Linked DNA regions of Cricetulus griseus. The protein of the gene in region 1 interacts with the protein of each later gene in a pairwise test. Links are inferred from orthologs where the notes say so. Each region holds a gene or a part of one and is shown on either strand. Other genes may lie near its edges.

Region 1 (15,284 bases):
TTTGTCATGTTCTTGCATCTCTTGATTATATTCAGAAGAGATTAACAGCTTTAGCCAGGATTCTCAGTGATAAGATAAATCCAAATTTATGTTTGACACTGCCAATTATAAACAAGGTGGAGAAAATCTGTTCAACTGTCATTTAGGGAAGTTATTATTAAAAGCCATTTCCCTAACTTTGTTCCAAAACTGTAGTTTGATACTCTAGGAGTGGCCAAATTCAGGAAGAGCTCATGTTGGGATTCTAGTTACGAAGAAGCTGAAGTGGCTCCATCCATGCCTTTCCACTGGTTGCTGAGATTCCATGACCAACATGTGACCCAAATAGAGAGACCACGAATTGTCTGTTTCGGGAGTAGTTTTAGCTTTGACAGAGTGGTCCTCTGGTGCTATGGAAAGTTGGAGTCAGGCAACCCGTCTTCCTGATTGAGAAATCAGAATGCTACATGATTTCCCACGTAATACTTAAAATTCCCTGGGTTCTCATTTGTTTTCAAATGAAAATTCATAAAAATTGCCCATCCATCTTCGAGACCTGTTATGAAAAATCTCTGATGAAATCAGTACTCTCTGTGCTCAGAAATACAGAAACTCTGATGTGGATGTATTGGCAAATTTCATGTGTTAAGCCGAGGGAAATCCCAGTGAAGATACCATTTTGTGGAATCCAAGAAATACATTTTCATCTCCTTTCACTTGTTATGCTAATGTCTGTGGCGTATGTACTGACATAGCTAATTCCTAAATGAGGATATACACGCCACACTTATAAATGAAATAAGCTGGCATTTTAGGAGATGTTAAGTAGAAAGTATGTATTTTCTAAACACACCACACACACACACACACACACACACACACACGCACACACACACACGCAAACACACACGCACCTACCTTACCCCAATTCCCTGCTCTGTCTGCCCTTAGGAAGGAGCAGTCATAACTGTGCGCTTTGTCCTTGGCAGTAGGTCGGTGCTGTAAAACATCGCCACCTTCAGTTAGAAGAGGTTAGTGTGTGCCTTGCCCATCAGAAAGCACGTTCGGGTTACTACTCCCAAGCAGTCTTTTTCCAAGTGTCTCAGCTTGAAGAGTCTTTTCATTGGCATTTCCCTGTGTTTCTTCGTACAATTCCACAGGGTGAAAGAGAAGGGAGGAGGGGAGAGAAGGAACCTAGTAAATCGGCCTGGAATGAACACAAACTTAATCTGCTCGCAAGGTTTTGTTAATGTCACAGTGAAAGCCAGAATACTTTTTGCATGACAGAATAGCTCTGAAAGCATGTGTTTTCTTCAGACCTACCAATTGCCATTCTGAGTAAACTGTACTTTTGAAACCTAAGGATTTAAACTTGTCCAAACACTTAGTCTGACTTCATGATAGACTACACCTCTTTGGTGAAGATCTATCTTTTCTATCCAGGTTTATAGGGCTTGAATATTTCAGTGAGTTTTCACAGAACAAAGAAACAGGCAGAGATCAGCTGCGGAGTTATCTGAGCAAGCCTGCATAGCTATGGACAGAGCTGAGAGCAATAAAACATGAACCTGACATGTTCAACAACAGCTGCTTGGTACCAGTGGCCTTTTAAAGACAGGAGGCTTAAGACCCAAATCGATGACATTTTCCTCACAGCATGTGGATAGATCAATGAGTGGAATGTTTGTAAGAATGAAGTCATGCGTATTTCCCCTTCAACCTCAGGATACCATCAATAAAGGGTCTGTGGTATCAGTGAAAGGGATAAGCCAGCAAGCCCATTGGAACATTCCAGAAGCTTGTGTTCCATTTACACACATCACTCTTCCCAGCATAATGTCCTGACACAATTCTCCAAAGCTAGCATTCATTCAGCCATCCCTGAGATCAGGTTGCAGACTAACTTTGAATGGCAGTGCAAAAGGTCACCCTGATTGTAGTTCCCATTCAGACTCAGGCACATACCTCCTTCTTCTTGTCATGAGGGGACAAAAGCCACTTGTCATCACTTCTTAGAGATCCTAAGGTGTTTGTATTCCATGGGTCCACTACAGATTTCATTTGACCAATGGTAACAAAACTCAAGACTCTAGCATGGAAGGGGCTAGAAATGTGCTTGCCTACTGTGTGCCCAGCCTTGCGTTTGATCTACAGCACGACATAAACTGAACGCTTTTGGTGACTTATTATTGCAACATTCAAGAAGTGAAAGCAGGAGGATCAGAAGCATGCGGTTATCCTTGGCTACACAGCAAGTTCAAGGACAGCCTGGGCTACATGAGACCCTTCATTAAAGAAATAGTTTAAGGAGATAGAATGCTGGAGGACATGTAGGGTGTATTTCTCAATGTAGGTTGTTATGGATATGTAGTCTGTTACGTATACTTAAAAAAATTGAACTGACCCGTTTGTTTCTCACAGAAAGGAGAAACCATTTAACTTGACATAATCCTTTTTTTCTCTTCTCACTGTCCCATCCTAATTTTCTAATATGCACACAGCTCTCCATATTTAGAAGTAAAATAAATGGGCATTTTAGGAGCCAATATTGATGTTTAGTCTTAAAAGTTGGGTCTACCATGACAACAGCAAACGGTCCATTATCTTCTTAAAGAAAACAATTTATCAAGCCTAGGAGCCAGATTGTGTCAGCAATCATCTCAGCCTCATAATTATAAATTTGTGAGGATCTGGTAAAATGCATGAATCCAAAAGAATTATAGTGTTTCACTGTGAGTCAGAATCAAGAACCCTGTTATTTTTGACATTCTACATCATCAGAGATATTTATGGAGGGTCAGATCTTAGCAATGATATTGTCTAACCTTGTTATTTTCCAGATGAAAAAGAACTTTTTTTATTTTTTGTTTTTTTAAGACAGGGTTTCTCTGTGTTTCCCTTGCTGTCCTGGAACTCACTCTGTAGACTAGACTGGCCTCAAACTCAGAGATCCACCTGCCTCTATCTCCCAAGTGCTGGGAATAAAGGCATGCTCCACCACCCAGCAAGAACTTCTTTCTTTTAATTATTTTTACATTTGATTTTCTTTTTTTCAGATTTTTTTATTTGAATTAGAAACACGATTGTTTTACATGACAATCCCAGTTCCCTTCTCCCTCCCGTCCTCCCCCCTCCCCTACCACGCCCCCCAACTAAAACCCTACCTATCACATATCCTTTCTTCTATTCTTCCCATGACTCAACCTTTCTGCTCCCTCATGTCCTCTGCATTCTTCCTCTTCTTCCCTTCTCATTCTCATAGCTCCCTCCCCCCTCTTCCTGTGCTTTCAATTTGCTCAGGAGATCTTGTCCCTTTCCCCTTCTCCAGGGGACCATGTATGTCTCTCTTAGGGTCCTCCTTGTTTACTAGCTTCTCTGGCAGTGTGGATTGTAGGCTGGTAATCCTTTATTCTATATCTAAAATCCACATATGAGTGAGTACTTATCATGTTTGTCTTTTTGTGATTGGGTTACCTTGCTCAGAATGGTTTCTTCGAGTTCCATCCATTTTCCTGCAAATTTCAAGCTTCCATTGTTTTTTTCCGCTGAGTAGTACTCCATTGTGTAAATGTACCACATTTTCTCTATCCATTCATCAGTAGAGGGGCATCTAGGCTGCTTCCAGTTTCTGGCTATTACAAGTAGTGCTGCTATGAACATCGTTGAACAGATGTCCTTGTTGTATGAATGTGCTTGTTTTGGGGTATATGCCTAAAAGTGGAATTATTGGATCTCGTGGTAGACTGATTCCTATTTTCTTGAGAAGTTGCCATACTGATTTCCAAAGTAGCTGTACAAGTTGGCACTCCCACCAGCAGTGAAGTGTTCCCCTTTCTCCACATCCTCTCCAGCATAAACTGTCATTGGTGTTTTTGATTTTGGCCATTCTGACAGAGTAAGATGGTATCTCAGAGTTGTTTTGATTCAACAAGAACTTCTTAAGAGGATATATTAAAGTACTTCTCTATGCAGCAAGCCTTCTAACTGTCCAAGCCATTTGAATAACTTATTATCTTTCAAATTCTTGCCTCAGTTTAGCCCCCCAAAATGGACTCATTGTAACAAAACTTAATTATTTATTATATTTTGCATTTTTGGTTCAATGTATCCCCTTTACTCACTCATGGAAAGACTGGGTCACAGAACCCCATTGTCTTTGAGGATCTTTCCTAGACCATGAGCTGGTTACAAGCAGAAGTAGCTTCTCGAGGGACCCTCAGGAGAAAGTGAGGTTGGTGTACCACTTTCAGACTTGCTACAGGCATATCTCCAGGGAACTGAGAAGCAAAGAGCAGCTATTCCCTGGGAGAGTCAGAAGAAGTGGCTCAACAGGGCAACACTGGATGACTCATGTGTGCTGAGCATGAGTCACAGGCAGAGACAACAGCAAGGGATTTCTAGAAAAGTCAGAACAGGCCCAAAGGTAAGAACCATGATAGATGGCCATAGCATATCCAGAAAGATTGGACTGAGCAATAGAGGAGAAGGAAACAGCAGGGGTTTGGGAATCATGAATGCTGTAAAAAGAAGGTAAATTATAAAGTGAACAAAAGAAACACTGCAGACCATGCTAAAGAATTTTGTTAGGAACAAAACAAAAACTAAAACCAACAACAAAAACAAACAAACAAACAAAACAGTGTCCACAAACCCTGCTACTTAAGTAATATTATAAATTATGTTTTATACCCCAAAATCCCTTTTTTATTTTAAATATAAATAATGTATGCTATTATTTATAAAACATATTTTTACAGCACTTTACTTTTAAGTATATTTGTTTTTTAGAAGAAGCTGTTATGCTGTAAACAGAAAACCAGTATACTTGAAATGAATCCTAGGACATCATTGAAATGTGATGAACATAAAAACCTCCAGTTAATTCATTGCTTATGAAATCCACTGACCCTGAAACTTGAAGTCTGTTTACTAAAGGATATTCTAAAATTTGGAGTGGGATTAAATCCTAGCACCAAACTAAGACTCCTTAAACAAATGAGGCGAAAGAAGACTGAACACTGAATAGTTTTCTCACACAGTAAATGAGGTGTGTTTATCATGGGTCCTCGGGTGTGTCTGACCCAGTGGGGATATGCATCCCATACCAGTGTCATTTTAGGAAGTATGGGACACCTAAGGTTTGGAAGCTAATTTTGGGTGGCAAAGTCAATCTTACCCAAAGAGGGATTAATTGGACTAGAAAGAGAGACCAATGGGAGACAAGAAACCAGTGTGTGATGGTTATGGAAAAGGATCCCAGTGTAACCAGTTAATATAGTGAGGATATGGAAAATGGTCCAGATTCAAGCGTGATTTGGGATAAAGCCACAAACTTTTGTCTGAGCAATGTGAAGCAGGGACCAAGAGAATAGAGGGACAGACAATGCCTTAAGTGAATGACTTAAGAGACTATATAAATGACACTGTGGTTGTTTAAGCCAGGATCAAGAGGATAGTGAGGGGGCTTGAGGAAGGGAAAGAGTAGAAAAAGACAGAGGTGGAGAGAGTCAGACCCCTGAATCCAGATGCATTGCCATTCAGAGAACTTTGCATATTCTAGATGCGAATTACTGCTTGTTGGGAACATGGCTGACTTTTGACGGTTATGTGATAACTGAAATTCCTTTGCTAGTGCTCAAATGCCAGCTAGATGATAGGAGACTATTTTGCCTATAAATGATCATCGTGAACATCCAGCTCACTACTGATGGTTTTAAAATTTTGTGACTTCATCAGGTAGACAAATTGAAGGCACACTAAACATATTTACTGTCCTAAGATGTTAAAGGTGAATGCAGCTAAAAGCAAAACATCATTAAGAACCTTCTTAGGTAAGCAATCTGCTGGGAGTTTTGAAGAATAGAGAGCTAAATTAGGCACAGACATTGTTTTCATAGAACTCATAAAGACTAAGATAAAAATTCTTCAGAAACTTAAATTATGTTCATGTGTCAAGAATTTGTACATAATAGCTAGTGAAAAAAATCTAGCCTCAAAAATCTCCCAGTAGCCATAGTTAGTGTGAAATTTGTTCCCATGGATGACTAGAATGTTGTGATGGTACTGGAGCAAAACAACAATAAAGTGAATTTAGTGGTACTCTTAAAGAATTGAAATGGAAAGTCTTGTCTGCCATTAATAATCTTTTATGCTGTGTATTTGCCCAGCTTAGGAAAAATAAATGAATGTTTGTGTTTTGTTTGCTGCATTTCTGCCCATCCAAATATGTGACATGGCAACAAATTTGAGCATTCTCATGAAACCCATTAGTTCATTTTTCATAAGCAGGTTTCCCCCCTTGGTAATCAAGACAGGCTAGAGGGCACAGATTTCATCCTAAGCCCACAAATCAGCCATAGGCTTGAATGAGGAAAAAGACAACATTCCCAAATATTGATGCTCCTTCTCCAGTTTCTAGACCTTTCTGTGGAAAGAAGTGTTTTCATAAAACATAGACAGAATTCATTTACATAGAGCACTCTTAATGGCTCCTGTCAGAACAGAACAGCTGGAAAACATATGGTACCCATTTCCCTGTATCACTTGGAAAAAAGTTCACATGTAAATAAAGCCACCATAAAAGAATAGCCTTTTTGAACCTGTGACCTTATATAATACATAAATATATCAGTAGAGGACACTGGTTGCATTGACCCAGTAAGTCATGTGGCTTTAAATATTTTTAATACAGTCTAAGATTCATAGTTCTTATGAGCTCCAAAGAAATCAAGGTAATTGACAAAATATCAGCAGATACCATGCCAAACAATAAGTATGTGTCTTAGAATGTCTATAAATAGGTTTTCCCACAATATTTATAGATTTGGAGAAAGTTAGTAAAATCAAATGCCTATTTACCCCTTTTAAGCTCCATGTCTTGTCTCCCTATTGTTTTATGTGAAATAGGCACTGTATGCTCTTAAGGCAGAGAGAATGGCTTGGCAGAAATTTCTGGCAAATGATAACTTTTCATAGCTTTGCATTTCTAGAAAGACAAGAACATATAAAAGAAAATTTTTACATTTATACGGAATTGATTGGAATAATTAGCCTTTGCCTTTGCATATTGACATTTCATAAATGACTTTAAAGAATCTAGCTTCTTCTGGCGATTATCACTCCTTTGGGTTTATTACGGGAACTTATTTCCCCCTGTGAAATTAAGCTGTAAATCCCTCAGAAGGATTCACTTTATGCATGTTAAAAGATCAAATGAGTTGTGCAAAGTGAGATTCAAGTTCACATACTTGTGTCTGTTAATTGTCTGCTGCAGGCCAAGCTTTGTGTACAGCTCAGAACTCGAGACAAAACAGTGTGGGTAAGAGAAGCAGGAGGCCATCTAGATGCCTTCCTTCTCCTGAGTATCCCTTGCTTTATGTTGCTCATTGAGAAGAAACTAATCCTCCCCCTATAAATTTTAGAAGCTTTTTGCTTCTAAAGGTTGAGAGTCAGAAAAGCCTCCGGGGTGAACTGTGCAGTACAGACCTTCTGAACCCTATACCACATTGTCAACCATTTGGAGAACAGAACTTAGGATTTTATGGTAGGCAGGCTCAGGACACTATATGCTTTATTTCATAACTTCTCTGAATGCTTTTAGGACACATCTCAGAATAAACAATGACTAGAAACACAAATTTAGGGAACTCTTTAACTGTAAGAATAAGTCATTACCAAGGATATTATAAAAGTTACAAACCTTAGCCGGGCGGTGGTGGCGCACGCCTTTAGTCCCAGCACTCGGGAGGCAGAGGCAGGCAGATCTCTGTGAGTTCGAGACCAGCCTGGTCTACAAGAGCTAGTTTCAGAACAGTCTCCAAAGCCACAGAGAAATCCTATCTTGGATGGGGTGAAGGTTACAAACCTGAGCACTTGTGCTGTCTCAGAGTCTCTCGCCCTTTGGCTGTGCCCAACAGCAAAGACAGGTAGATTTGCTTACTCTGGGATGAAACTTTCCCAACTGCATTTGTTTCATAGGATAGAGGATAGTTGGAAGAAAGCTTTGTCTGCCTTACGAAAGATGATAGAAACCTATAAAGTAGCCTGCTAGTCTGTGACAATGCTGGGTCATCTGCCTTCTAGTAAAGGAGTGTCTCAGACAAAACAGAGCCGTGCTGTGGGGACAGCCACTCTGAGACATGCTACCAGCATCTTGATTGTATTCAGGCTTCTTAGAAGAGGTTGTGGTTGTTATCTTTTATCTCCAAATGTGTCTGACTACTTCACTGTCCATCTCAACCACCTGAATGTAGGCTAGCATGCAATCTTTATTTTAACTGCACAAAAATGAGATAAATTGAAAAAAGGCAAGTTTGAGTACTAGTCTGCTTTCCCTATCTGACCTTCCTGCCTCCCCTTGCTCTTGTTTCTACCTTTCCCAACATGGAGGGTGGTGTCACTCTAAAGAGCATGTTGTTGTCAAATGGAAATGTGTTGTGTTGTGTCATAGGTTGAGAAGCACCAGGAGATGGCCCAGCATGATGGTTGTCTAAGATGCTTAGTATAGAATGGGTCGACTCAACCATGGCCTGCCTCCCATGGACAGACGAGCGCCTGACCACTTTATGCTTTTCTTTGCTGTCGCTAACCATAAAATGGAAAACTATCAAGTCACATAGTAGGTCACAATTTGAGTTTGTAGAAGATAAGTTATGTTTTCTTCCATGAATGCATGGATGTCTTACAAATTAGAGATATGTGTACAGGCTAGTACATGCTTTTGCAAGTGTATTGTGCAAATATATCATTGTTCACTGCTTGGTTTGGAAACCCATCCCTGTTCTGTTTTGGTTTTGTTTCAGGGTGGTGACAAACATGTAAATAGTACCAGAGATGCTGAGCCATAAACTATCTGTCAGGGTTTATTTAACTTTCTGCTTTTATCACTATTGCTACTTCAGTTAGTTCTGGGTCATTATATCATGACTATCTCATCTTTCTCTGCCTTGCAGTGGTAAATATGAAGCATTAGTTTTATGGATATATGTCCCTTCGTGCTTTATTCCCTTACACAGGGGCCTACTGTGAACATAACGTAAGTGAGCCATGTCTACCTACGTGGCCAAACTGTATTCAGTTCTAATTTAATAGTCTCCTCTATTATTTTTTAACAGTTTCTAGCTCTAGCTGGAATTGTGGTGTCTCAACTCTCATTACAAACCCACAAAAGCCCACTGGAATCGCTGATGTATACAGCAAGTTCCGCCCAGTGAAGCGAGTTTCTCCACTGAAACATCAGCCAGAGACTCTGGAAAACAATGAAAATGATGACCAAAAGAACAGTACAGTAGAATACCAGAAAGGGGGGGAGACTGACCAGGGCTCCCAGCCTGAGGAACTCAACCCTGAAGATGGAGTCAGGGGCTTGCCAGGTAAGGGCTCTGAGCCCAGCCAGGCACTGGGTGAGCTGGAGCATTATGACCTTGACATGGACGAAATTCTGGATGTGCCTTACATTAAATCCAGTCAACAGCTGGCCCCACTGACCAAGGTGACTTCTGAAAAAAGAATTTTGGGTTTATGCACAACCATCAACGGCCTTTCTGGTAAAGCCTGCCCTATTGGAAGCACTGAGAACTCCACAGTCAACATGACTCCATTTTGTGTTCTTTCCCCTGTGAAAAGCCCTCACTTAAGGAAAGCATCGACTACCCTCCGGGACCAGAACAAGCTCTCCACAGAAGACTCTGAGAACTCCCCTGTTCTGGGTAAATGTGTCCCTGCATATGAGTCAGAAAACCACAGTAAAGACTTCCTAAACAAGGCCTTTAGTGATCCCCATAGTCGAAAAATCGAGAAGACCGGGCCAGACTGCAAGCTCAGGGCCTTCCACCTGCCATCCTCAGCAGCAGGGGCCAAAGCAGAAGAGCAGGTCAATGGCATGAACTGGACCAATGCCCAAGGCACAGAAGAAAGGAATGAATACCTGAAGAAAGTAAGAAGTATAGTGAACATTGTGAAAGAAGGCCAGATATCACTCTTGGTGAGTATTGTCTGTCTGTCTTTAGACTCCATCTTATAACAGGATGAGTTTTGCTTCATGTCTTTCTGTGAAGTTTTTTTTTTTTTTAATTAGTTCTTTGAGAACTTCCTAAAACATGTTTTCTTCACTCCCCTTGTTTTGTTTCTTACTGAATCTTGTTGCTTTAAGGCGTGAGTTTTAAACGTTAAATTTAGGGGGTTAATTCACAGGACACAAATGGCTCCAGAAGACTGTTAGTGCAGTTTAACATCGTCTGACCTCAGCTGGAATAACGACGTTTAATCTAAAAGGAAAACAAAACAAAGAGCCAGCACTGTTTTCCAGATGACTTGTAATGCCTTTTTTTTTTTTTTTTTTTTTTTTTTTGCTTTGCTTTTCAAATGGTTCCCCATGCTCTCCCTCCATTTCTGTGAGGATGTCAGTTTTTAGCTGATGGCAGACCTGCCAGATCTGTGAACAGAGAGTTCTCTGTTTCACCCTGATCATTATTCAGGAGAGTTGGGCTGGGGGGTTGGAAAACATTTGCAGATACAGCTTCCCCTAGAGTTTGATTGTTCTCTGACACACACACACAGGGTTTTTGCTTTGCTCCAGCATGTCACCAAAGATTCCAGACACAGAGTTACTTGATATAAGAAGTATCTATTGAGGAAAGCTCAGCTGAAACAGCATTCCATCTGCTGCACTGTTCTTTTCTAGTTCCTAGACACTGGTCAAATAGTACCAACCTTGGGCTCATAATGTGAGGATAATTAAAGTCTCATTCAGGAAACTCACGGCATCGAGGCATCATGATTCCCCAAAATGTGAAGCATGCACAGATAAACTATAACATATTGGGACTGGCATTGCAAACAGGACAATATGATTGAATGATTTTACCAAGTGAAGCCACAACTTTGTTTTTCTCTTGCAAATGTCTTTTCCATTTTTCCTGGCTGTTCCCTCTGACTCTCTTTGGTTAATTCTTTCTCTTTGCCTCACATAGTCAGAAGTCCCTAATGCTAATACCATTCAGTTTACCCAAAATATTCTATCAAAACTTCATACTGTGAGGACTGAATTTCACTAGAGACAGAAAAAAAAACAAAAAACAAAAAACAGCCAAAGAACCAAGTTTCCTCCAGATATCCCAGATACCCCTGGGAGTCACTGGCTTGTCTAGAGGTTCCTGTGGATGCTCTGGTAGCCACAGCCTTTAGGTAACATGTAGAGGCAGCGAGCCTTACAAGTCAACCCCCCCAAACAAGTACTTCATTCATGCAACAAACCTCCAACAGTCAATAAAGCATAGCCCTGTCCCTCAAGAACTTAGCGGTACAGTGACAGAGACAGAGAAGCTGTTGCTTGCCATCAGTGTCACCTCAGAGACCTAAAAATCCAACTAGAAACCTTCGCAGCTCATCGGTCCTAGCCCTGTGACCCTTTTTCACAAAACCATTTGTCCCTTGAGAGCACATGTTCTAAAGCAGAGATTCTCAACCTTCCTAATGCTGGGACCCCCTTGATTCAGTTTGCGGTGACCCCCCAACCATAAAATTATTTTCCTTGTTACTTCGTAGCTATGATTTTGCTGCTGTTATGAACTATAATTTAAATATCTGCGTTTTCTGATGGTAAAAGGGCCATTCAACCCCCAAAGGGGTCATGACCCACAGGTTGAGAACCACTAGTCCAAAATCACTGTTCTAAATCATGTTGCAAGAAAGACAAATAGCAAGGAACTCTGACTAACTAGAGGCTTTCTATGCCACCAGGGCCCTTGTGAGCTGTTCCTCCTTCCCTTCCAAAGGAGAACCTCCTTTGTGTCCTGTTTTGACTTACTGATTGAAGCCTCCCCCTCTCTGTACAGCCACACCTAGCTGCAGACAATCTGGACAAAATCCACGATGAGAATGGAAACAATCTGTTACATGTCGCAGCGTCCAAGGGGCACGCAGAGTGTCTACAGCACCTCACGTCTCTGATGGGTGAAGACTGCCTCAATGAAAGGAACACAGAGCAGCTGACTCCAGCTGGCCTGGCCATCAAGGTGACCTCCTGGGGGCTGAGCTGTCCCGGGTTTTGTCTTTGGATTTGATCTCCGGTTTTTCAGATTTCTTGTGAGCTAGGCTATTGAAAGGGGGAGAGGAGAGAGTGAGGCATTAAGCAAACAGAAAATGAATGTATCGTATGTAAGAAGTTAATCACTTCAGTCACTACCACCTGAGATTTTAATGGCACTCCACCTTGTTATCTAATAAGGATAATTTCCAAATCAACCCACAAAGAAAGAAGATGACCCCCGGCAGGGCTGAGAATTCTGTTACTCATGGTGATTGCAATTCGGATTCTTACCCACACCTGGATCTCTCAGGAACTGTGTCAATTTTTCCTAACATGGGAATAAGAAACAAGAATTAGATCAAGGTGTGCTGGTAAAGGAGGCTAGCTAGCACTTAGGAGTTTCTGAAAATAATGTGGGCTTTTATTGAATCAAATCTGAGTTTAAATGTCATCAGCATTAAAACTGTTTACAGCATCATCGAGGATCCTGTATTTAGTTCTCCAAAATAGCACAATGTGCTATCTGTCAAAGTGTATGCAAATCAATGCCAACTGGGATGGAGTTAAAACCTGGACCATAACACAAGTAAACAGGGACCTTTATACCACTGTGGTAAGAGTGTCTGGCGATTGACCGAGTCACGTGAGGTTAGCTATTAAACTAAAATAGCTGTTTGGATCTTTGGCAGATAAATGTAGAATTCAGTCATACTTACTAAGAAGCCAGAAGTGAAGTTCAGAGAAATAGAATACATCTTGTACTTCTGCATATAGACTGCTTTACACGATAGCTGGATCTCCTAAAAGCCAAATGTATCATTTTTATAAATGAAATTGCATAAGTGTTGAATACGAGAACCAGCTAGCTGAAGAAACATACTAGTGAACTAACTAAGAAACACATTACATTTTTAAAATAGTAAGTTTCTATCTTATCACAATATGTCTTGCACATAAAGCTGATTTTTAACTTTAATGCATTTATTAATCAGTAAAGTTTATATGTTAAAAATATTGTTTTATTTCATTTTGTTCCCTAGTAAGTATGACTTTATGACAAAATTTTCATAGTAAATATTTTGTTACAAAGAAATCTCTGATGCTGGGGAATATATTTTTCTCTGGTTGTGAATAAGGCCATGTCAGATCAGAGTTTACTACAGCCCATGTGAAAAAAGAGAAACTGAATTCAAAGGAAAAAAAACTCGTCTCAGTACAGTTGAGTTCAGTGTGTGCTGAAGCAAACAGCTACTGTGTTATTGGGTGCTGCAGGTAAAAATTTAAATAAGACATAGTACCTATTCCTAAAGAGCTGATAGACCTAGTGACTAAATCAGGAACCTTGGTTACTGGTAATGACTGTGTCAGATAGTTAAGTCATCATCTACTCCTCTGACACAGTCCAGTGAGATGACTGGGTATAGTGTGGTTATCCATGGGCATATGTCAGTGATAAATATCCTTATAATGCCAGTCAATGTGGGCATCTGCCATATTTAAAGAATGGCTTAGGGTTTATGAAATGTAATTCTCATTAGTTTTCCAAACTAATGGTAGATGGTTGAATATTTCCTCATTATATAATTGAATGGAAGCATATTTTTTCTTAATTGACATACCTTACTGCTTCCTTTGGGTAGATTAAAAATTTTAGAGCATGAAGGTTCATAAGAAACTTAGTAGCCATTAAGCCAATCCTCAGTGTGAACAGCTTCCATGCTACCTACACATGAAGACTTATTTTATTCCTAAACTTCAGCCACCACAGTACAGCCATCACCAACAGATCTGCAGGTTTACATGGCAATTTCTGTTTTAATTTGAAGGAAACACATACACAAATACACACAGACACACACAGACACACAGACACACACATACACACACACAGACACACACACACACACACACACACAAACACACACACAGACACACACATACACACACACAGACACACACATACACACACACACACACACACACACACACACACACACACACACAAACACACACACCTAAAATGCACAAGGCTAAAGAGCTCTTTCAGATTTGGGGACTTGGGCTTCTGAATTATTTCAGTGTTCTTTGTATTTCATCATTCTAATTGCATTGACAAAAAGGCAGCAAGTACAATTGTTTCGTACGAGCACCTCTCCCCTCACAGGTATGTATGACCCGATGCCTGCAGCTCATTCAGTGTGCTTTGATTGACACCGATGAAATTGAGAGTCCTAAGAAGTCTTAAGAAGTTTCCAGCTTTAGTATCTTGTTTTGAACACAGACAGCAACTGATAGTATTTCACCACATTAGACAGTTCTAAGAGGGGCTGGAGAGATGGCTACAAGCACTTGCTGCTCTTGAAGAGGACCAGACTTTGGTCCCCATCACCCACTTGGTAGCTCATAGCTGACTGTAACTCCTGCCCCTGGGGATCTAAGTGTAGCTGCAGTGGATCTGATGCCCTCTTCTGTCCTCCAAGAGCATCAGCATGCATGTGCTTGTAAGTAAAACTGAAAAAATAAAACACCGCTGAGAGCCCTGCTGCCTGACATTAAAGACAAACGTACTTGGGACAAGTGACCCAAGTTTCTTGCAGAGTGTGCCTCAGCTGACCGAAAGCATCCAGAGACAAAATGAAGAACATCATTTCCTCATTCTCAAACTCTTTAAACAGAGGATAATAAATAATTATTCTCATTACATTGCATGACAGCCTTTATTGAGGGTTTTCCAGGAGACTCAAGAGTGGCTGCTTTGGGAGTTTGTGTCCTTTGGAAATAGCTAAACAAAGTCACTTCGAAGAAAGAATTCTGGAAGGTCTGATTTCTAACACAGTCTGTTTTCTAAAATAGAATTGGCAGGAGGAATTATTTTAGGACCTGAACAAACTCGGGTTGAAATAAACCAAGTTCCTTTTTTGTTTTGTTAACTTCTCCTTTGGTCATTCTGATTAGGCCCAAAGGCAAAGTGTTGATCTGGTGATAACACACCCTTTCAGACATTCGTTTTTTGATAACATGATGTCACAAACACACTTACATAAATTATTTTTTATATAACATGATGTCACACATTCCCTTACAGACATTCTTAAAAAAAAAAAAAAAAAACTCAAATAACTCTAAACCCAGAGACTTGGGGAGGCAACTGTATCCTGCTGGAACTTAATTTTTTTTGTTGATTTGTGTTCCTGTTACTTGAATTTAAAGCAAGTTATTTTGGTTTCAAATTCAGGGAAGTAATATTTCCTTCTGTTCTTTGATACATTTTATTGTT
Region 2 (15,284 bases), on another chromosome or scaffold:
TGGTTTTGGTTTTTGGAGACAGTGTTTCTCTGTATTGCTTTGGAGCCTGTCCTGGAACTCTCTAGACCAGGCTGGCTTCAAACTTACAGAGATCAGCCTGCCTCTGCCTCTGCTTCCTGAGTGCTGGGATTAAAGGGGTGTGCCACCCAAGCCTGGCTCTGATTTAATTTTTTAAACATTAAACTAGGCTTAGTAGCTCACGCCTTTAATCCCAGCACAGTTGAATCTCTGAGTTCAAGGCCATCCTAGTCTACATAGTGAGTTCCAGGACAGCCATAACTAAGTAGTGATACCCTGTGTGCTGGTTGGTTTTGTGTCAACTTGACATAAGCTAGAGTCTTCAAGAGAGAAAGGAGCCTCAATTGAGGAAATGCCTTCATGAGATCCAGCAGTAATGCATTTTCACTATTAATGATAAATGGGAGAGGGTCCAGTCCATTGTGGGTGGTACCAATTCCTGAGCTGGTGATCCTGGGTTCTATATGAAAGCAGGTTGAGCAAACCATGGGAAGCAAACCAGTATTAACACCCCTCCATGGCCTCTGCATCAGCTCCTGCCTCCAGGTTCTAGCCCTGTTTGAGTTCCTGTCCTGACTTCCTTCAATAATGAACAGCAATATGGAAGTGTAACCTAAATAAGCGCTTTTCTTCCCAACTTACTTTGTGGCCATGTTGTTTCATCAAAGTAATAGAAACCCTAACTAAGACACTGTGTCTCAGAAAAAAATTTTATGTTATACAGACCTGGCAGCAGTATTGGAACATAGATGAGGGTTGTGATAACCTTGTCTCCTTTTGTCAGACAGTGGACTGGTTACAGTCTGGAAAGCTGTTTTCAACCTTTTAAATAGCTGGGTGCCGGTAAATTATCTCTGCCACCCTCCTTATGAGGTTCAGTGATTTTTTTTGGGGGGGGGTGAGACAGGGTTTCTCTGGCTTTGGAGGCTGTCCTGGAACTAGCTCTTGTAGATCAGGCTGGTTTTGAACTCACAGAGATCCGCCAGTCTCTGCCTTCTGAGTGTTGGAATGCAGTGATCTTTTTCTCAGAATTTTTGTAGATTTCAGTTCTGTGTCTGGTGAGTTAAGTGGCTGTGTTTGCAAAGCAGATGCTTCTAAGTGCTGATGTGTCTTGCTGTGAGGATCGGTTTGTGAGTGACTAAAACATACACAGCACACTCACTATTCTTTCCATTCACCGCCCTGACAACCTGTTTCTTTTAGACAGATCTGAGCATTCTTTTAAAAGGAATAATGCTATATCACCTCCTGGACGATGTTCAGGAGGCTGTAGAATATTAGCCCTCCATAGGGGAAAAAATAAACATTTAAGTGATATCCATCCATCCATTTTCCACTCTGAAATTCATGTTCATTTATAAGGGGTGAGTACTTCTCCTTTGTTTGACTTGGCAAACCTTGAAACACTCACTACACTTCCCAGTTGCCGCTAGCTCTCAGCAGCCTCACCCACCCCTTGGAATAGCTGTGCTGGTGTGGGATACCACCATAACTCCCTCCTCTGTAGAAAAGAGAAGGTGCATGCTGAGGACAGGCAGCAAGAGATTGTGAGACAAAGTTCGGATGTGGGCAGATGTCCCATGCCAGTCCTGGCACTGGCTCATGATGTGGTTTTACAAACCTAGGGCCTGGGCTTTCCCAGTTGTAAAATGATCTGGCCACTGTTAGATTGAATAATAGAGTGGATGTGCTATTGTGTGCTCAGAAGTGCCAGTGAAAACGAAAACAGTAAACCTTATGAGCCAGGTGTGGTGGCTCATGCCTGTCATCCAAGCACTGTCAAGCTAAGGCTTTGAGCTTCAGGGCAGCCTGGGCTACAGAGTAAGACCTTGTCTCAAAACAAAAATAAAACAACAAGTGAAATAGTGGTAGTGTTGTAAGTTTTTAAATTTTATTTAGTTTTTGAGAGGCTGGCCCAGAACTCACATTGCCTCCACCTCCCAAAAACTTAAAGGTGTGCATCACCACGCTTAGCTAACTCTTTAATTTCCAAAGTTCAACTATATAGACATTTATTATTGATAGTTCATAGTTCAAACTAGCTTTTCTTTCTTTGTGCTTAATTGCCAGAGAGCTTCGTCTTTGGTTTAGAGTTAAAGCAGTCAAAGTGTGAGAGAATTTACAAGCTATATATTGTGTTGCTTAAAATAATATCTTTTTGCCGGGTGTTGGTGGTGCACACCTTTAATCCCAGCACTCGGGAGGCAGAGGCAGGTGGATCTCTGTGAGTTCCAGGCCAGGATGGGCTCCAAAGCTACATAGAGAAACCCTGTCTCGAAACCGCCCCCCCCCAAAAAAAAATTCTTTTTTTAATGTGGATGTGTGTTCTGCCTGTATGTATGTCTGTATTCCAGAAAAGGCTCTTGGCTCCTCTGAAACTAAAGTTACAAATGGTTGTAAGCTGCCTTGTGGGTTCTGGGAAGAGCAGCCAATACTCTAACCCTTGAGCTGTCTGGCCAGCCCCTTAACTTGTCTTTCTGAGAATAACAGGGTAAGAAATGGCCAGTAGGGCACAGACCTAGCATGGGTAATATCCTGGTTTGTTCCCTCCTTGCACAGAAAACAGGAGCGTAAACTACTCCTTGCTACATATTAGCAAGTTTGAAATAGACATTTTAAGCTAAGTATGGTAACATATGCCTTTAGTCCCAGCACTAGGGAGCCGATGGCTGCTGGAAACCCTTACTGGGGGTGGGGTTGGGGGAACCAAAAGAACAACAAAAGAAACATTTTATATCGACTTACATGTAATTAGATACAGTAGTTTAGGTTAAACTGACAGGCACAGAGGGGAACTCCACTTACTTTGCAGAACACCTCCGTAGATTAGGTAATATGTAAAGCATTTTAAACTGTGATGTGATTTATTGATTTACAGTTTTACTTTCAAGGATGGCACAGAAGAAATATCTTCAAGCAAAATTGACCCAGTTTCTAAGGGAAGATAGAATTCAACTTTGGAAACCTCCATATACTGATGAAAATAAAGAAGTTGGTTTGGCCTTAAAGGTATTTTTCTTTTAATATGTAATGTAAATCTTTTGCAATGTCATAACTCCCTTAGTAAATACTAGTCTGGAGTCCCCAGAAATTATCAGGCACAGCTGTGAAAATTTTTAGAAGCACTAAAACCTTTAGTAAAGAACAAATTTAATTTTTAATTTTTAAAAATTTAATTTAATTTTTTTCAGCACTAAAGGTAGAACCCAGGGCTTCACACATGCTAGGCAAGCTCTTTACCACCAAGCCACACCCCCAGTCCTATTATTGGCATTTCATTCTCTTTCTTTTGGTTTTCGAGACAGGGTTTCTCTGTGGCTTTGGAGGCTGTCCTGGAACTAGCTCTCTTGAACTCAGAGATCCGCCTGCCTCTGCCTCCCCAGTGCTGGGATTAAAGGCGTGAGCCACCAACGCCTGGCTGAGATCCTATCTCAAAGAATATATTTTTAAAAATATAGTAAATATCATTGATATTGGTATATTCTTCCCATCTTCTCCTAATGACTATTTAAAATGTATTATGAGTAGGAGTTTGTCACACACACACCACAAAACCAAGGGACTGGAGAGATGGCTCAGTGGTTAAGAACACTAGCTGGTCTTCCAAAAGCACTGAGTTCAATTCCCAGCAACCACATGATGGCTCACAACCATCTTTTCTGGCCTGCAGGGATACATGCAGGCAGAACACTGTATACATAATAAATAAATAAATCTTTAAAAAACAAAGCAGTGGGCGTGGTGGCTCATGCCTTTAATCCCAGCACTGGGAAGGCAGAGGCAGGTGGATCTCTGAGTACGAGGCCAGCCTGGTCTATAAGAGCTAGTTCCAGGACAGCCTCTAAAGCCACAAAGAAACCCTGTCTCGAAAAACCTAAATAAATAAATAAACAAATATTTTTTTAAAAAATAAGCAAAACGAAAAAACCTAACCAAATAAAAAAGGTTATTTAATCTGTCTTGATCTCATACAGTTTGAAAAATTAGAATTTTTTGCTTTAAATTTTTTCCCATCCAATGACAATGAATAGTTCACTGTTTTAAAAAGATTTTTATATTTATTTCATGTGTGAGTATTTTTAGTGCATGTATGCACCACATGTGTGATTGGTGCCCTTGGAAGTCAGAAAGAGGGAAGACATTGGATCCCCTGGCACTGGAGTTACAGATGGTGGTGAGCTACCCTATGGGTGTGAGGAGCTGAACCCAGGTCTCCTGCAAGCTACAAATGCTCTGAATCCCTGAGCCGTCTCTCCAGCCTCCACAACTTAAAAAAGTAGTTGTGTGTGTGTTTGTGCATGTACACACAAGTTAGAAGTCAATTTGGAACTTGATTCTCTCCCATCATGTAGGGCCCAGAAACTGAACTCAAGGCAACAGGCGTGGCTGCAGGTGCCTTTACTTGTTGAGCCATCTCAGTGGCCCTGGTTCACTGCTCCTTAAAGTACTTTCTAATATATTAAGGCCATAAGGGTCTCAGCCCTCCTTTCTGTCCCCCGGAATAATCCCAGTTACTCTCATTTTGCTACGGAAATGTTTACTATTTGTAAGTGCTTTAATTTCTCCCTGAATCCTCCCTGGGAGCTGAGATTGAATTTCAGTATGAGGGGGCCTCCGCTTGTCAGTTACGTTGCTTTGGGGAGTTTTTTCTTTCCGTATTTTTGCACTGGAGCTCTGGGGAGCTGCAGCCTGGTCTCTCCTCCCAGGACCTTGTTAAGAAGTACTCTGACCGCCTCGAGTGCTGTGAAGATGAAGTGGAGAACGCAATAGAAGAGATCCGCTGCAAAGCAGTTGAGCGCGGCACAGGGAATGAGCACTACCGAGCAACCGGGATTGCCACAATCGAGGTGTTCCTGCCTCCCAGACTCAGGAGGGTGAGTAACGCCCGCTGCACATGTCCTGCTGTAATTGAGTTGTTGGTTTGTTCGGTTTGGCTTTTTGAGACAGGGTCTCTCTGTGTGGTCCTGCTGTCCTGGAACTTCATATACAGACCCGATGACTTTGAATTCCCAGGGCCTACTCTGTCTGTGCTTCCCACGTGCTAGGGCTAGAGCATGTGCCACAGTGCCCAGTGAGCGCTTGTTTCTGTAAATCTGCCAGAGAGTGCTTAAGGAACTGCAGGTGTTGAATGGTGATGATACATTTAAGGTAGCTTGTTCTTTAAAACATCAGTCACAGAAGTGGGGGGCATGGTAGTGCCGTTGTAATCTCACCAGGGAGACTGAGGCAGGGTTATCCTCAGCTACACAGTGAGCTCAAGGCCAGTCCATGGGCCAGTGAGATGGCTTAGCAGGTAAAGGCTTTTGTCATCAAGCCTAATGACTGGGATGTGTTCCTCAGAACCCAAACGGTAGAAGGAGAACTGACTCCTACAAGTTGTCTTATGATCACAAGTGCTCCATGGTGTGATAGTGCTAAATTAATAAATGTAACTTCAAAAAATTAAAAAAAAAACCATGTACAGAGCTGTGTGTTTGTACCTTTTCTAGTTTAATGATTACAGATACTGAGAAGTAGGGCTGGAGAGATGGCTCAGAGGTTAAGAACACTGGCTGTTCTTCCAGAGGACCTAGGTTCAGTTCTCAGCCCTCACAGTACAGCTCACAGCCATCTTTAACTCCAGTCCCGGGGTGGTCCAATGCCCTCTTCTAGCTTCCTTGGGCATCACACACACATGATACACAGACATACATGGAGGGAAACACCTGTACAAGTAAAATAAACGTGACGGGAAATAAATTTTAAGAAGTCAAAGTAGACAGCAGGTTTTAGAGTCCTATGTTGCAGGACACTCCCTGAAGAAGTCCTATTCTGATGGATGGACCGTAGTCAGCTAAGTGCTGAACAGGACTAGCCCCTTGTCACAGGGCCTCATCCTCAGGTAGTACGTGTCAGCATGTTTTCCTGGCAAGCACTTTACAGCCTTCTCAGAACCAAACAATGTTGACCATTTTCAAAATTTGTATGTGGGCAGGTGAGATGGTTCAGCAGTTAAAATGCTTGCCAGAAAGCCTGTTGATGTCATTGGGATTCCCCGGCATCCACATTAAAGGCAGGAGAGAACTGCGACCACAGCCCTGTCCTCTGATCTTCACAGGCGTGCCATGGCACACCCACATGTCCTCTCTGCCCCAACACGCGCGCGCACGCGCGCACACACACACACTTTTTTTCAAAGGCAGGAAAAAACAACGCATGTTACAAAACAGTAAAAGTGCCTGCCATGCAAGCATGAGGACTTAAGTTCAGATCCCTAGAATCCATGTAAAAAGCCAGGTGTGTAAGGGTTCCTGTAACTCAACCCCTGAGTGTTATAGGCTTACAGGGATGTGGATGGATCCCTGAAGCTCACTGGCCAGTGAATCAATGAGAGACTCTATTTGGGAGGGGAAAAAAAAAAAGAACTCTGAGTTCAAGGCTAGTCTGGTCTACAATTTAAGTTCCGGAGAGTCAGGGCTACACAGAGAAACCATATCTCAAAGAAACCAAAAAAAAAAAAAAAAAAAAAAAAAGAAAGAAAGAAAGAAAGAAAGAAAAGAAAAGGGAAGGGAAGGGTAGATAGTAATCAGGGCACCTGTCACCAGTCTCTGGATCTCACACACATCACACATGTGCACTCCCAATAACACATGAAACGCAAGAATAAACTGACTGGTGAGCATTCACAGTAGCACCACTCATGATGGCTGAGAGGGAGAAGCCTAACTGCCATCAGTGGATGTGTGGATAAACAGATACACCCACGCCACAGAAGACAGCTGGTGGCACAGATACACAACACAACACTAATAGTCTGCAATATGAGCCACCTCAGAAACGTGCAGAAAAGGCCTGACGCTCTGTGGTCTCCTTCAGTGAAGAGTCCAAAATAGACAACTTTGTAGACAACTTTTCTATTTTGTCCAAAATAGAAAAGAAATGGTTGCAAGGCTGGGAAGAAGAGGGATGGGGTGTAGGGCATGGTACCTGGTGATAGGTGGTGAGTGGGGAATGTTCAGAAATTCTATTAAACATTTCATTGTCTTAGGATTTTTTTAAAAGATTTTATTTATTTATTATGTATACAATATTCTTCTTCCATGTATATCTGCACACCAGAAGAGGGCACCAGATCTCATAACGGATGGTTGTGAGCCACCATGTGGTTGCTGGGAATTGAACTCAGGACCTCTGGAAGAGCAGTCAGTGCTCTTAACTTCTCTCCAGCCCTGTCTTAAGATTTTATTTGTATTTTTAATTATATATAAGTATGTGTCTCTGGGTTTGTGCATGTAAACAAAAGTGCCCCCAGAGGCCAAGAGTAAATTAAATTAGATCCTCAGGGTGGATTATAGTCAGGTGTGAGCTGCTCGAGTGGATGTTGGGAAGTGAGCTCAGGTCCTCTAAAAGAAGTATATGCTCTTACCACTGAGCCATCCCTCCAGTGTCATGCACTTTGATGATGATGGCTGGCCATGTGACAAGTCCCACTGAGCACTCAAGGGGTACTCAGGTCACTCTGTCAGTCTGTGCTGGACTGTGTTTATGCTTCTCTGTACAGGCAGTGGTTTGTCCTTAAGTAGAACCCGAGTTTACATCCTGTCACAGTACCCTACAACCTTACATGCAGGGTAGCAGTCCAAAGAAGTGTCACACTCAAGTACATTTAGTTTTGTCTTTTTTCAACAGGACAAGAAAAGTTTATTGGAGACCCGCTTACATGTCACTGGTAGAGACCTGAGGTCTAAGTGAGTATCTGAGCTATGTTTCCCAACAGGTTTGCCCCTCTTACCCTGGTTCATTGAATGCTCTCAAGCTGTCCTGTAAGCGAGGGAGCCAGCCTGTTTTCCTCTTACAGCTGAAGAAATGAAACCTGGAGGGTGGGACAAGAAAGAGGTCATTCTGGGTTCACACACTGCTAGGTAAGAGGCAACACGGCTGCCTGAGTGAGACCTGCTCATGGCTGCCTGAGTGAGACCTGCTCATGGCTGCCTGAGTGAGACCTGCTCATGGGAGCTTCTTGGATGCAGTGCAGCTTTTAGAGGGGTTCAGCTTGGGGCCCACAGAGGAGGTGCCCAACTTGTACCTGAGTGAGTAACTGAGGAATAGAAGCAGGAGCCATCTTTTCACTGAACAGAGCATGTTTTATAATTCCATTCTTTTTTAGCACTAATTGTTTGCTGTGACCTTCATTCAGCAAAGGCCAGTCAACCCAAGTGTTCTGTTGGAGAATGAGGAAGCATCACTCATTCAATGCCCACAAGTAGGCAGTGGTATGGGACAGTTGCAGGGTTCTCAGAGGATGCTGGGAGAGTGTGACTCAGATGGACATCCTCAGCTCAGATACAAGTTTAGAAAGAGCTTGGCTCACTCAGCTCCCAGCAGCTGCCACTGCACCAGCTTTATTGTAGTCGTGTTTACAGGTCAATAGGTGAATAGCCTGGGTGTTTCTAAGTAAAAACCTATTAAGTGGCCATCATGATCCAAGTCTTCATAGTAGGTAACAAATAACAGATTTGCTTCCTGCAGCTTATACTGTGTTTATTTTATAGAATAGCCGAAACTTTTGGATTTCAAGAAAATTACATCAAGATCGTAATAAATAAGAAACAACTTCAACTAGGTATGTCATAGCAAAGAATGCATCTGATGTATAAGTAGTGACTTTCCATTTTTTTGTATTTTTTTCTTGCTTTTCCTCTATTGAAAACTTCCTGGCCATGTTGCATTTATTATCCAAAGTCAATTAATGTTAAAAGTTTACCATAATGAAGATGTAAAGCAGAAAAGGACATTACAATAAATATTCACAGGCCTGCTCTGGGTAGTGGGGAAGAAAGACATTGATTTCAGCCACAAGAATATTCCAGAATGGAAGTCTGTGCTGAGAGGAGGATCTGGGTTACTCAGTTCTCTCTATGACCCTGAGAGAGACGGGTGGACAGGCCAGGTTGGAACACTCTGCGGACAGCCAAGGAAACTGAGTGTAGGGTAGAGGCCTTTCTGAATGTAGAGAGCAAATGGGCCATGGGAGTCTTCCGGCAGTGAGTCTCTGCCGGGGAAGACAGTTTCACCTTCCAAGGGACAGCTGACTTTGTGAGGAGACGATTTTGATTATAATTAGTTGGGGGTGGGGGCTGCACGCCTATCAGTGGCTGCCAAATGCAAGACAGTCCCCATCACCTCACAAAAGCCCCACGTCACAGGTATCTGCCCCAGATGGTGAGTGCTGCTGAGAAGCCTGCGACAATGAGCTTTGTTCAGTATGGAGTTTGTCCTCAGAGAGATGGGGGTCACTGATACTGCAGAGTGCACACAGGGACATTGTGGCTTACAGACCACTGGCTGCAATCTGCAGGAGGCATGAGTGGAAGCCGAGATACATTATCTCTTTAGCAGCTCAGGTGGTTCATGAGGGCTCATGGATCTCCAGGGGAAGTCCCTAGAACCCTAAGTTTCATCTTTCTTTCTTTCTTTCTTTCTTTCTTTCTTTCTTTCTTTCTTTCTTTCTTTCTTTCTTTCTCTCTCCCTTCCTTCCTTCCTTCCTTCCTTCCTTCCTTCCTTCCTTCCTTCCTTCTTCCTTTCTTCCCTTCTTTCTTTCTTCCTTTTTCTTTCACTTTTCAAGACAGGATTTCCCTGTGTAGCCCTGAACTCAGAAATCCACCCACCTCTGCCTCCTGAGTGCTGGGGTAATCGCCTATGCCACCACCGCCCGCCTGATGGCCCAGTTTCTATTGTAGCACCATGTGGCAGCTCACAATCAATAGCTCAGTTCCACAACATCCAATGGCACGTTGGTATCCCTGCACTCATGCAGGCAAAATACTCATTTACACCAAGTAAAATAAGTCTAAAAAATTGAAAAGAATAATGTGAAGAAGCTGTTAAGGAAGACACTGGATGACCTGTGACCTTCACACCCATCCCCCACAAAAATCTAGTCAGGTGGGCTGGGTGGCCCACACCTTTAATCCCAGCACTCTGGAGGTAGAGGCGGGCAGATCTCTGATTTCAAGGCCAGCCTGGTCTGCAGAGTGACTGCCAGGGCAGCCAGCACTACACAAACCCTGTCTTGAAAAAAAAAAAAACCAACAAAATCTAGTCAGGTGACTTTTCCTCTTGCCACCTCCTTTGTCCAGGTGGATCTTGCTTTTTGTATTTGAATGGTAGAATGGTTGTCATTTCTGAAAAAGAAACACAAGAAGAGGAACACTGCGCAAGTGTGCAAAGGAGGAAGTGCAGGAAGGCTGGAGCCCTCATAAACCACCAGCTGTTTGTAGGGGACTCTGGAAGGAAACCCAAGCTGATTCTCAGCTTTCAGGGATAAAGGAAGCTGTCGGTGTCCATCTTTGCGGACTTACCTTCTCTTTTGCTATGTTTATTTTTTAAGCTTTTTAAAGGATTACTTATTTATGTATATGAGTGCTCTGTCCTCCTGTAGGGCTGCTGGACAGACAAGGGCATCAGGTCCCATTACTGATGGTTCTGAGCCTTGTGGGTTCTGGGAATTGAATTCAGGACCTCTGGAAGAGCAACCAGTGCTTTTAACCACTGAGCCACCTCTCTGCCCTCAACATCATTTTTACTAGGTTTTTCTGTAGTGTTTGGCTAACCTATTCACTGGACTAGCTATTTCCCCTTGTTGTGTTTCATGGTTTCTGTTCTTGTCTTTATTTCTACTCATTACACGAGGAAATGCATCCTAGGGAAGCAGCAGCTGAGTCAGGTCCATGGGGTGGAAGGCAGGCACCTGTGGCCTGAGTCAGGTCCATGGGGTGGAAGGCAGGCACCTGTGGCCTGAGTCAGGTCCATGGGGTGGAAGGCAGGAACCTGTGGCCTCTGCTTTTCACCATCACAAGAGCTGGCCTCACTGTTGATACTGCACTGTGGCTTCTTGAGTTAGTTATTTCTCAACTAGAGACTGGCAAAGTTTGTATATTGGCTACACTTTTGTTTTCCTTTTATGCTGCCTGGCATAGTACTTGTTACTTCAGTAGGGTGAAGAGAAAGAAAATAAGAAAAGAGTAAATGTGGCCTACTGGTCTCCAAGTGTGAATGCAGGTTTTAGAATTCCATTTTCCAGGCTGGTGAAGTGTTTCCGTGGGTAAACAACACTGGCTACAGAGCCTGATACCCGAGTTTGGTCCTCGGATCCCAAATGATAGAAGCAGAAAAGTGGCTCCTGCAAGTTGTATACACACACACACACACACACTCACACTCTCACACACACTCACGCTCACACACACACACACACACACACTCACACTCTCACACACACTCACACACACACTCACACACACACACACACTCACACACACACACACTCACACACACTCACACACACACACACTCACACTCACACACACTCACACACACACTCACACACACACACACTCACACACTCACACACACACACACACACTCACACACTCACACACACACACACACTCACTCTCACACACACACTCACACACACACTCACACACACACACTCACACACACACACTCTCACACACACACACACACTCACACTCTCACACACACACACACACTCACACTCTCACACACACTCACGCTCACACACACACACAGTCACACACACTCACACACACTCACACACACACTCACACACACACACTCACACACACACTCACACTCACATACACACACTCAAAATAAATTAATAAATAAAAAAGGACTCCATTTACTGTAGGAAATGGACTGTTGCCCAGGAAGTGTGTGTGACAGGCAATTATGCTGTTCCCAGGGAAAACCCTTGAAGAACAAGGAGTGACTCACAACGTAAAGGCGATGGTGCTAGAGTTGAAGCAGTCTGAAGAGGATGTGAGGAAAAGCTCCCAGGTGGAGGAAGAGGAGCAGAATGAGGCTGAGCTGAAGGAGAAACGCATTCAGAGGACCAAAAGGGGGTTGGAGATCCTGGCAGAGAGAGGTGCATAGAATTCTGGCTTGTCCCCTCCCTCAGACACATCAAGTCAGCTCACAGAGCGTACCTGCTTCTCGTGGAGTGCTCCACAGTATGGCATCTCAAGTGTTGTCACGGTCACTGCTGTTCAACCATGAGTTAATGAGACTCCTATGGCTTTGTTGCAGCGGAGATGGTGGATCCGGAAACGATGCCTTACTTAGACATTGCAAACCAGACGGGCAGGTCCATCAGAATTCCCCCTGCCGAAAGGAAAGTAAGTACAGGTGTGGGAGGCTTGCTGGGTTGTCAGAACAGATCAGACAGATGTAGTCAGTCCCAGAAAATTCTTAGAATGAAGAGTTCTGACTAGGGATCAAGGTAATTTGAGGTTTTTTGGTTTTGTTTGTATCTTTTTGGTATTTAAATGACAATTTGGGGGTAGGCTTCACTATTTGAATTAATCTGAATTAAGAGCTGGGTGGTCAACTGGGGAGGCTGGAAGCCAAACCCTCATTTAGTACACAGCCTAAGCTATCCTAACCTTTTGAAAATGGATATGCGGGGCCTGATTGGTGGCTCAGCAGTGAAGAGCACTGGCTACTCTTCCAGAGGTCCTGAGTTCAATTCCCAGCAACCACATGGTGGCTCACAACCATCTGTAATGAGATCAGGCAGAACACTGTATCCATAATAAGAAAGTGAATTTGGAGGGCCCAGATGGCTTAGCAGGTGAAGGTGCTTGCTGTCAGGTATAAGCTCCATCTCAAGAGCCTGCATGGAAAGAAGACTCCTGAAAGCTGTCCTGTGACCTCCACTCACATGCTGTGGCACAAATGTGTATGTGAGCGTGAGCACGCTCTCACAAATACAAATAAATGTAAAACTGTTATCTTGGAAATGCTGGCATTGTCAAATATTTCAGAAGTGTGATGGTACTGCCTGTGAAGGTGGAGGATGGGAGAGACCCCAAATCAAAAACAAAACCACAGCCAAAAATGAGTGTGTGATAGGGTATATCACACACTGTTTGGACTGTCTTGCTACTTAGCTCAGGCTGGCCTCCACCTGACAGTCTCCTCCTTCAGGTTCTCACAGGTTGGTCCATGCTGCCATACCTGTACACTCCTTAGAAAGGCTGTAATAGTTACTAGATGTTCATCCTGTCTAGTCTTGTGGAAAACTAGAATTAGATCTAGACCAGCAGATGGGTAAAAACAACTACAACAAAAAATACCCTGGAGGAGTTGATGCTACTCTGTGACGTCAGCCACATTGACTTGAGAGTCTAGCTTCAGGGCTTCAGTGAGAGAAAGCTCTAATTATAACAGTTAATTGTTTTTTGCCTTGTTTTCATTAGAGCTAATATGATTTTTAATTTGTTTTATGAATGCTTTTCTAATTTTGTTTGAAAGCTGTTTTTAAGATCCCACATTCTTTCCTAGGCCCTTATGCTAGCTATGGGATACCATGAGAAGGGCAGAGCTTTTCTGAAGAGAAAAGAGTACGGCATAGCCTTGCCATGCCTTCTGGATGCTGACAGGTATTTCTGGTAGGTACTTTTGTATTCAGCAGGCACTAGTGTAAGGGGGAAGCCCAGTCTATAACTCCAGACTGATTTTCACCCCACAGCAGTTGCTAGGAATGAGGAGTTAAGGCACACACCAGTTTGTGGGTGTCTCCTCCTTTGTATTTCTAACCGACCCCTCCCCTCCACCCATTCATTTTGACCCTAGTATACAGGCTCTGCACCCCCCCCCAGTATGCTGCCACCAGAGCTGTTCACCACACTGCTCCTCTCTTCTTCCAAGTGGTGTCGGTGCAATGGTGATGAACTGCACTGCACTGCACACTGCAGACTGGCGCTCTTGCTCTTCTGTGGTCTCATGAGCTGTCATTTATGCTGAGGTGCAGTGTTCTCAGGAAGAAAGCCAAATGCCTGGCTCCTTTTGTGTTATTTTGTAGTTTTCAGATTTTGTTGGTTCCTCAAAGGTGACCAAACTGAGGTTTGCTTTTTTTTTTTTTTTTTTTTTTTTAAGCTTTATTATGTATACAGTGCATGCATACACACCAGAAGAGGGCACCAGATCTCATCATAGATGGTTGTGAGCCACCATGTGGTTGCTGGGAATTGATCTCAGGACCTCTGGAGGAGCAGCCAGTGCTCTCAACCTCTGAGCCATCTCTCCAGCGCCCCCCCCCCTTTTTTAAAAAAAAATAAATTCATTGGTATTAACTGGTGAAGCCAGGAGTGAATTCCTCCTATCTCAGTACTTGAGAGGTTGAGGCATAAGTTATAGGCCAGTTTGGGCTACCCTGCAAGCCCTTGTCTTCAGGGGATGGACCCACGCACTCGCACACTCACACACACACACACACACTTTTTTAACATGGGCTTTAACACATCTGATCTGATGTGCTTTATACATCTGTTTAGATTCTTCATCTTTGGCTGGCCCTGGTGTCCTTTTGCTCTGCTACTGATAATCTCTGCAGTTTCCCAGGGTTCCCAGTTCCTATTTGTGAAAATGGTGCTTAGAGAATGTTATCTGGGTATGTTGGATGCTTGAGATAGATAAAGTTGATTTTGGGAAATGGTCAAGAGAAAACAGCCTCAGTGTGGACTTTCTGTTTGGTGAATTTCCATGACATTTATGTGTGTCAATTTTGTGATAATTTTCCTGCTGCAAAGGTCAGTGCTGTTGCATCTTAAATGTATAACCCTCAGGATAACTTATACAAAGAAGGGATTTTTGTATGTTTCAGATGTTTAAGGAGATGAGGCAAGGCTGGGAAGAATGAGAAGGTGGTCGGGGCTTCAGGGTCTTGCCTTATCTGTCTCTGCTGCTTCATCTGCTTCTTCTCTTTTGATGCAAATGCTGGAGACTGTAAACTGAGTCCCTAAAATTGAGAAAAGTTTTCACTTCTGTGTATAGTTGTTCCTACCTTGTTAGTAGAAAAGATTTCAAATATGTGTGGAGGGAAAGACTGCTGTGGGGAACTTATATAGGCACATAGTTTGGCTTCAGTGGGTATCAAGAAGTGGTTGGTATTGATTCTTCTTTGTGAGCCTTTTCAACCTTTTCTCCCTGGACAAATTGCTTAAATGACTTTCAGATCTCAGATCCCTCATTAAAAACAATCAAGTCATCAGTTCATGATATACCAACGTATCGTTAAGTAGCAGGTGTAATAAATACTATTAGTGCCTTTAAAATATATATAGTCATGTTTCCTTTATGGGCATGAGTGCACAAGGTGATCAACATATAAAGAGCAAAGTTGACTGGCTCACGGTGTTAGAGGTTTAGCCTGTAACCAGTGGCCCATTGCTTTTCCATGTCCCTCTGTCTCTACTGCT

Evidence for each region.
Region 2: the proteins of synphilin-1 (region 1) and Nub1 interact in a two-hybrid assay, tested with the Homo sapiens proteins (2 studies listed by BioGRID). The link is inferred for Cricetulus griseus from reciprocal best matches to the Homo sapiens genes SNCAIP and NUB1.

Annotation. Positions count from the first base shown.
Region 1 is NC_048595.1:185,755,583-185,770,866, reverse strand, and holds part of synphilin-1, read left to right. Parts: intron 1-9,092; coding exon 9,093-9,961; intron 9,962-11,813; coding exon 11,814-11,993; intron 11,994-15,284. UniProt on the Homo sapiens protein: Isoform 2 inhibits the ubiquitin ligase activity of SIAH1 and inhibits proteasomal degradation of target proteins. Isoform 2 inhibits autoubiquitination and proteasomal degradation of SIAH1, and thereby increases cellular levels of SIAH.
Region 2 is NC_048601.1:97,822,330-97,837,613, reverse strand, and holds part of Nub1 (NEDD8 ultimate buster 1), read left to right. Parts: intron 1-2,909; coding exon 2,910-3,027; intron 3,028-4,724; coding exon 4,725-4,892; intron 4,893-7,686; coding exon 7,687-7,745; intron 7,746-8,549; coding exon 8,550-8,620; intron 8,621-11,767; coding exon 11,768-11,950; intron 11,951-12,111; coding exon 12,112-12,200; intron 12,201-13,368; coding exon 13,369-13,475; intron 13,476-15,284. UniProt on the Homo sapiens protein: Specific down-regulator of the NEDD8 conjugation system. Recruits NEDD8, UBD, and their conjugates to the proteasome for degradation. Isoform 1 promotes the degradation of NEDD8 more efficiently than isoform 2.